Linked DNA regions of Caenorhabditis elegans. The protein of the gene in region 1 purifies or fractionates together with the protein of each later gene. This does not show direct contact. Each region holds a gene or a part of one and is shown on either strand. Other genes may lie near its edges.

What was found.
Region 2: the proteins of chil-10 (region 1) and acbp-6 fractionate together in Caenorhabditis elegans (co-fractionation; one large-scale study listed by BioGRID). This does not show direct contact.

What each region holds. Positions count from the first base shown.
Region 1 is NC_003284.9:956,099-961,069, reverse strand, and holds chil-10 (GH18 domain-containing protein), read right to left. Parts: upstream 3,190-4,971; 5' UTR 3,144-3,189; coding exon 2,943-3,143; intron 2,899-2,942; coding exon 2,602-2,898; intron 1,901-2,601; coding exon 1,728-1,900; intron 1,679-1,727; coding exon 1,612-1,678; intron 1,536-1,611; coding exon 1,479-1,535; intron 1,333-1,478; coding exon 1,223-1,332; intron 801-1,222; coding exon 590-800; 3' UTR 502-589; downstream 1-501. Other genes in the region: ncs-1 (Neuronal calcium sensor 1), read left to right, coding at 308-409; apm-3 (MHD domain-containing protein), read right to left, coding at 3,454-3,546, 4,107-4,352, 4,405-4,507, 4,559-4,632, 4,677-4,790.
Region 2 is NC_003280.10:11,971,779-11,975,581, forward strand, and holds acbp-6 (ACB domain-containing protein), read right to left. Parts: upstream 1,955-3,803; 5' UTR 1,889-1,954; coding exon 1,865-1,888; intron 960-1,864; coding exon 818-959; intron 765-817; coding exon 583-764; 3' UTR 535-582; downstream 1-534. Other genes in the region: mex-1 (C3H1-type domain-containing protein), read left to right, coding at 1-173.

The DNA of each region.
Region 1 (4,971 bases):
AACACTTCAAATTGTTTTTTTGAGATTTTATCATTTTAAGCAAAGTATTAAGCTGCCAGATATTTTGAAAATTATTATTTAAACATTTCAAGACTTTCTGCACAGTTTAACGTTTACAATGTACAAATTTATACAGTTAAAACGCAACTAAAAATGTTTAAAATTTTGAAACTAAAAACTGAGTTTTTTTTCCATTTTTTTTAAATCTTACAATGTTGTTTGGTGATTTTAGTAACAAATTTGTGGTATCGACTAAATTCCACTTTCAAAATTTTTAGAGCATTAAATAATTTCCAAATTTTTCCAGAATAACGATGCTCAACTGACATTGGAAGAATTCAAAGAAGGAGCCAAAGCTGACCCCTCAATTGTGCATGCTCTTTCATTGTATGAGGGTCTCTCCTCTTGACGCATTTCAATATGTTTTCTTATATCAAAATTGCAAACACTATCATCAAGCGTTATGTCCCCTTTTTTCGTCAAAATGAAAGAATCTTTAGTATAATATTTGTCTTCTTATTTACATATCAAATTCCATAGATTAAAATGTTCAAATGAAATAGGCTGAAAAATGTGAAAAGTTGAAACATTAAATCAATAAATTAGTGAAATAGTCGAGTCCCTGTCCATAATCCCAAATGGCAATTCCGACATCGTAGCGGTGAGCCATATTGATGCGAAGTTCCAGCGAGGTGAGTGATGGGAAATAGGCGATGGAATTAGAGGTCTTTACTCTGTGCTCCATTGACTTTTCGTCAAACTCCAACTTGGATTTTTCAGATTTCAATAGTGTCAAGTATCTGAAAGATAATTAATTTGTCGTAATTTAATTAACTATTGATTTGTCAATATATAAAATTAAGAAATGATTTAAGAACTTTGGCAATATTTTATGTCAAACGTTTGGCTTTACCGAATTTTGGACAATCCAGTTTCTGTATTACAGTTGTTTTTTTTTAAATATTTTCCGGATTCCACAATTTTTACAATAACTTTACAAAGGTGGCCTTGTTCAGAATCTGGAAGATTTGGAACGTGAAAAAAAAAGTTAGAAAATTGAACTAAAAAAAAAGAACGTCCGGTTTGCCATCCCAATTCCCAGTGAACAATTGTTAAACTTGCAAATCTCTTCCACATTGTTCTATTTTCTTTTCTATGTAGCTCAACAGTATAATAAGACTTTCCATTTTCGCACAACTCTTTTTTCTTTCTTAATTCTCACCTATCCGCAGTGATTGCTTCCACATTGCCTTTGGAGAACTCATAGCCGTAGAAATTGAGTCCCGCCAGTGTTTTGTGGCCACCTCCCAAGTAGAAGATACAGCTCTCAAACTGAAATGAGATAATTTTTTTTAGAATTCCACGGAAACTAATGTGTTTCTCTCTTAGTTTTTTTCAAAAGTTTGCTGGAATCTTGCTGAATTCTTAAAGAACCCCAAGAAATTGGATTTTAGTGAATAAAATTTTTGAAAACTAACCCAGTCGTATGGAGCCACACCAGCTGGTTTGTTTCCCCGGTAATCGTAGGTCATTATCTGAAAAATTGACAATCTCACAGAAGTTTCTTACAGTGTTGTTTTCAACTACACAACTTAAATTCCTCCCACTTACCTGAACAAAATCGGAAACAGCTGTGATCTTCTTAAAGTCATCCGGAGTCACGAGATTGTTGGGTTGGCTGAAAATATGTTAATTTTTCCCAAGTTTCTTATCACCAATATTTCTACTTATTCCATTCCAGGGGCGCAGGAACTGTTAGAATCACTTGCATATGCAACTTTTTCATTTGCCTCGACAAGTCTTGTATACTTTCGATGATAAACTCCTTTACTTCTAGAGACTGCACAGAGATCAATGCTTGCATGTAGAGCTCCACGACAGCGCCTTCAAACTGGTTTCTCTGGAAAAATGATGGTGATTTTTATGTTTGTGTTTCTGACGGGGATAGTCTAGACGGTATTTTTATGTCGTTGAGTCAAGTTCAAGCCCTTTATCCCGATGGGTCCACTTGTCCATAACTGAGAAGTGGAGCAATCCACGACTGGATTACCGGCCGCAGTCCAAGTTTCAAGCGAGGCTTAACATTAGCCCAGTGGAAGCTTCAGCTACAGACCCTTCAGCTTGAATGACAGACAATCATTTACCGTATATTCTCTATTAGTGCGGCATCTCTACTGCCCTTTCGAAAATTAGTGCGGCAGTCTCCAGTAGTCCGGCAGTCTCTAATAGTGCGGCACCCCTTCTTTTTGGTTGCGAAAGCCACCTCAAATATTCGGATTCTACAATGGTATCCTTGTTCATTCTTCAATAATTTCTCATAAATTTTCACGTAAACATTGCATTTCAGAGTCTTTGGTGGCAAAATACACAATTTTCATTACTTTTCACATAAAATATGAGCTTTTATGAGGGAATTTTGAGGTTACTACTCTCGAAAGTAGTAACCTCAAAGTGAAAATTAGTTATCGAAAATTAGTACGGCAGTCTCCAGTAGTCCGGCAGTCTCTAATAGTGCGCAAGTCGTGGAAGGCTCGGAAATTAGTGCGGCATGCCGCACTAATAGAGAATATACGGTAATTCTTTATTTCAAATGGAACTAACGCTGTAAAAATTGGCGATATCCTCGAAACAATGTCTTGCAACTTTTGCATCCATCAACAAGTTCTTCATCTCCTGAGCACTCCAACCATCAAACAGAATTCGAGGCACAATCGCGATGTTTTCGTTTTTTTCACGGAGCTTTTCAATCCAATCTCGGTTAATTTCATGTGTTCCTTCAATCTTGCAGCCATCCAATTTCCCGTTTTCACTGAATGCCTTGGCTTGAAACCAAACCGGAGAGACGTGAGTCAGCTTGTGAGCTGTTTTCTCCGCCAACTCGTAGCCATGCCGGTTCCACTGAAACACAATACAGTTATTTTGTTATGTAAAATTTCAATAACCGGTGTAATATACGCCAGCTGAGTGAGCCCTTCTCGGTTGTCCGGAATGTGGAACTGATCGTTGAGTTGCTCGTGCTCTCTTATAATCGACGCTTTGGAAATTGATTCTGGCTTGAATTTCAGTGTTTCGATAAGCTCTTTTCCAGTGGCTTGAGCACTGACTCCAGATATCAATATCCACGTGGCAAGTATAATAATCATTTTTTGTTAACTTTGCTATGATACCCGATACGTTTTATCCTGAAAGCTACGGCACAATTTAGACTTAAACATTAAAAAAAAAAAATTAAAAAAAGTAAATAAACCTGGCATTCAAAACCAAACAACAAAAACGTGCAATTATAGAAATATCGATAAGATTTGCAAACAATAAAACAATTTTATTTTAAGAACAATCAATAAACTAAAAAGTCCTTAAAATAGAAGAGTAATGCCATTTTATAAATTAAGTAAACTGGTTGAAAGAGCAGTGTTGAGACCAAGATGAGATACAGAGAATGTTGATGGAAGACTAAGTGCGAATTGTGAATTTACCGGCTTTCGTTATATATTTCACACCCTTGAACGGCTTGTACTTTTCGCCGTACATATCCAAACGATTGACCTGGAAACAAATTGATGTCTGTGCGTTTCAGCATGCTTATTTTGAAGATAGTTTTGAAAATATGACTTTTTTTTAACTAAAATGTATGTATAGAAAAAAATTTTAAAGTCGGTTAGGTAACACCGCAACCAATAAGGTACAGGATTGTTGATCACTTGGAGAACGGTCGAACGGTCATATTATTCTACCCAAGTTTTTAAAAAACATAGACAATTTCTGAATTCTACTAATATACTTTTTGTGAGACTGGGCAAGAATGAAAGTTTCCAAATTTTAAAACTTTATCTCACTAAAATTCTATCTCACTTCTCCAAAAAGTCGGATAAACAGCCGCACAGCGCTGATAGACAAATATAATTTTAAAAAGAATTTACATTTCCTGGATGATTTTTCCGTATAATTCCTGGTCATTCAAATTGATATCTGACGATTTTTAGGACCACTACCAAGAGTTTTCCTAGTCATATTAAAAATTTGATTACTTGATTTGTTTTTTTATAAACTTGCATGTTTTTACTTTGCAAGTATAGGGGTATTCACTTCAAGCTGATAAAGCTAACCTTTAATCCGGACAGAACCAACTGGTTAATTTTGAATTTCAGTGAAATTGGTGGATTCTCTGCAACAGTAGTTCCGCTCACAGCAACTGATCCTTTGAGTGTTGATGGTTTTCCGACTTCAATTTTTCCAATGGTCCATTGCAATAGTTTAGTCGTCGGGTCGAACGCGATTCTTCCGTGACTCGCCACCAAATTGCAGTTTTGTACACATTTTGGCATTGTGATTTCAAGAACAACGTCTTCCAGCTTAACATCGTTTTTGTTAGAGGGATTGTGATTTAGATCTTCGAAAACTCACCACTTTACCCATGCTTAGCTTTGGTCCAACTGTGAGGTCAAGTTTTCCAGCATTTGGTTTCAAGGAGATCACTTGTCTAACGTAGATTGGAATGGCAACCATACTGAAATTAATTAAGTTATAGAAATTTTATCTGTAGAATGAAAATCATTACTTTTGTGCAGCAATATGATAGGACAACAGACGAAAGTTGCCATCTGGAGGAACAAATGAAAGAACCTTCTCGTTCTGAAAAAATTGTGATTAAGATATAAATGTTATGAGCGGTTTACCTCCCAGCGCTTGTATCTGACACATGGATGGAAGGATACATCATCTAGAAGTCTTGGGTTGATAAGGGTCATTGTGAGATCAGGCATTCCGGACAGTTTACAGCAAACGTCAACCTGAAATTTGTCAAGGATAAGATGAATATATTCTTAATATTTCCAAATATTTTTCAGAATTTTTACCTCCAGAACACATGCTAGTTCAAAACGTCAGCACCCAAATTTGGTGGTGTGAAGTATTATATTATTAAAATATTTTCATTTGGTTTATTTATAATTTTGTATTTAAATCTTTAGA
Region 2 (3,803 bases), on another chromosome or scaffold:
CGGCGATTCTGCCAGCTCATCAAATCCCTTCCACCACGACCACCAGCACATCATCTCCAGTCCAAGAACAGCCGTGGTACGAGAAGATTTTCGGGAAAATGACAATGATCCAAGAGGAATCATCGATGGGCGGTGAAGACGACGATGCTCACGAAGATCATTATTCGAGATAATCTGGATTCCTCCGTCCACCCCCTACCTACCTACCTAAAAATCTGCCAAATTCTCACAAATTGTCCCAGTCCAAAATCTCTTACAACAAGAACAAAAAATCCCCTCCAAATTTTCATGTCATATCATAATTTTCCCCCCACACCACCAAAAAAATGTCCATATTTTGTATTTTTGTGTCCCACCCCCCGGCCAATCTGAGCCATATTTATTTTGATAATGATTGTAAAAAGTTATTTTGTGATCTCTACCGTTTCCCCCCAAACATTCCCCATTTCTCTATCTCTCTCTCTAGTCTATCTCACTCTCTCTATCGGTGTCTCGCCACGATACCCACCGACCCAGAACGCCAAGAACAAATATGAAGAGATTTGAATTTTTATTCAAAAACAAAAAAATACTCAAAATCAATCAATAATCCACAGACCAAACTTCACTGTTCCACTTGCAACGGACAATGTTCCGCCCGTATTTTTTGATCATTTCCTCGGCGATTGCCACGTAGTCCGCGCGGCATTTCTCCGAATTCGCGCCTTTCTGCGATTTCCAGGCGGCATATTTTTTCCTGCCGACCTCGTCACCGGCGGGAACTGCTGAAAAATATAGAATGTTAGATTTTGGATTATTTTCCATTCGAGACCCTTACGATACACATCCTCATTTGGAATGTCCCCATGGAGAGCCTGTTTGTACAATGCGTAGAGTTTCAGCCGCTCTCGATCGGTTGGCTCGGACTTGAGCCGACGCATCTCCTCGGCGGCAATTTCAAAAGTTAGCCCGGTCCATTTCTGAGGGAATTGGGAATTTGATTGTTATTATTGAATCCTCGAAAAATTCGGTGGAGCGCGCTTGCATCTTTTACTATTATGGGGCGTAAACGGCCGCGAATCATGGGTCTCGTTATTACGGGACCATGAGATCATGAGAATGCCTATTACTGGCGCGAAAATATTGGCAGGCCGCGGCAGCGAGAGAGCATATGGCGAAGAGAGACGCAGGTCCCTTCGCTACGAGATATTTGCCGCCAGAGAAGTAGGCATTCTCATGATCTCATGGTCCCGTAATAGGTATTTGGTGAAAAATTTCGAACGTTTTCGAGAATTTTGCAGCGTTCTCAAAAACTACGGAATATATAGGAAAAATGTTTGAATTTACGATTTTACCGCCAAATTTGGACGCCATACCTAAACAAGACCCATAATTCGGGGGCGGAGCGTTTCAAATTAGCCGCCGAGCGCGTTTTCACGTCGATTTCATTTTTCTGGATTTAACAAAATCAGTGTTCTGGGCTTCCTCAATGCATTTTTCGCGCTCCATTGACAATCGTCAACGCGTGGAAAAGTGTCGTGTACTCAACACGGACAAATACATTTATTTTTACAACTAAAACCGAGCCGCGACGCGACACGCAACGCGCCGTAAATCTACCCCAGATATGGCCGAGGCAAAATGGCCTAGTTCGGCCTAAAATCTTCCATTTCAATTTACGAGGGAATTCCCTCCCTAGGGAAGCCAGAAATCCGTGACTACGGAAAAAAAGTTCAAATTCACGATTTTACCGCCAAATACCTAACGAGACCCATGGTTCGAAGGCGGAGCGTTTTAAATTTGCCGTGGAGCGCGTTTTCACATTGGAATGAGCGTCTCATTGAAGCGAACTTGCTGACCAGACTGAAATTGAAAATTAGCTCACCTTTTCGAGCTCGGAAATCGGCATTTTTGGAGGCGATAGAATTATTGTTGGCTCCCGCGGAGCACACACGCTTTTATACCCCCTAATTGGCTAAAATATTCGCGAATTTTCGAGGGAAATTGCCTGAAATTTGAGTGGAGGCCCTATATGAGATGTGTGTTCGATGAATATGTAATTTGAGAAAAATAATTGTTTATTTTGTGAGAAATATAATTATTTAAATTCGTTAAATAAGTTTCATGAAAGTTTTTACAGTAGAAAAGCTAAAAAATCGATATATTATGGATTTTTGAAGGCATTCAACGGTGAAAAATTGAAATTTAGTGAGTTTTTGGAAAAAAATTTGGGTGAGAATTTGTATAATTTTTGAGTAAAATAAAAAGTGGGGGAAATTAATAATTTTTATCCGTTGGTGTGTCGTTGCAGTCGCGTAGGGGGTTCCTTGCCAGTTGTTTCTCTGAAATTTCAAAAAAATTATTTAGTTTTTGACTGGCAACGAGCTCGTACGCGTCAAAAAAATACGATGAGAACAAAAAAAAACAAGGAGAGGGGTATGCGCCTTTAAGATAAGGATACGGTAACGGGGGGGAGGTCACTGGTCTCGACACGACAGTTTACTGCGAAAAGGTGTGCGCCTTTAAAGAGTACTGTAGTTCTCAATTTCACGTGTTTAAAATCGTTTTTTCATAGTTTTACAAAAAAAACATTTGGAAATTCGTCAGCAATCTAATTTGTAAACTACAGTACTATTTAAAGGCGCACAACGTTTTTTTCCCATTAAACAAACATTTGTCGTTAACGTTTCGAGACCAAAAAGTCGCGAAATTTAGTACCTGAGTAATAATAAACTAGGAAAACCTTGACTAACTACCGTATCAGAATTTAAAGGTGCATGTTTCATAAAGAAGCGTCTAGATAATACATTTTTGAAGTTGAAAACCCCCTAATTTTTTAAAAATTTACAGTTTTTCCAAGTGATAGGTAATTTTGCATGACGTGATGATGATGATTCAGAAAATAAACCGCAAATGATAAGAAATTATCAATAAATGTTAGCAAAAGTGATTACGGTATTCCGAATACTAAAAAAACAAATTTTTTTCCTAAATTTTTTAATTTTCCCAAAACCATAGCCAAAGTTGTAATTATTTTTGAATTCCCGCTTCACCGAATAATTCAGACATTTTTCCGCAAACATTGCGATTTTTAGGTAAATTTTCGAATTTCAGCGAAATTTCTCATGGTTATCCAGGCTTTTTTTACGAGAAAATACCAGAAAGTTTGAAAAAATTGAAAAACTAAACAATTTTTGCGGGTAAAATCCGGGAAATCGAATTTTGAAAAATCTGAAAACGAAATCTTACCAAAAACAGAAATTATCCCAATTTCTTAGATCAAAAATCTAAAAAATCTGGCGAACTCGTGTGATCTCTTTATTATTTGAAACTCGCCGCGATTTTCAGATTCCAAATCTTCTCCCATTTCTATTAAATTTTGCTCCGACATTGCAACAAAAAACACACAAAAACAAGTATTCATATATATTTTTAATATTTTATTAAGCATTTTTTTCCAATATTTTTAATTTTAATGTTTTTTTGGGGGTTTTTTTCGTTTCGTCTAACTTGTTCTTCTCATTTGTTATATTATTTTACGAAGTGACCGTATCGTTTTACTATTTCATATGAAGTTTGGAGATGGTTTAGGGTGTGTGGATTGGTGGAAAATGGTGTGAAAATCAGAAAATATAGATTTTTCAAGTTTAAAATCAAATTTTGAAGCGAAAATTGCAAATTTTCCGTAGGAATTTCAAATTTTCCCACCACTTCCGGAGGAGTTATGTGAAAATTCGAAAAACAGCTGAAAATCTGAGAAAAATGTTGTATTAAAGTATATTTTATAGCGAAAATTTCGAATTTTCCCACCATTTTCACCTATC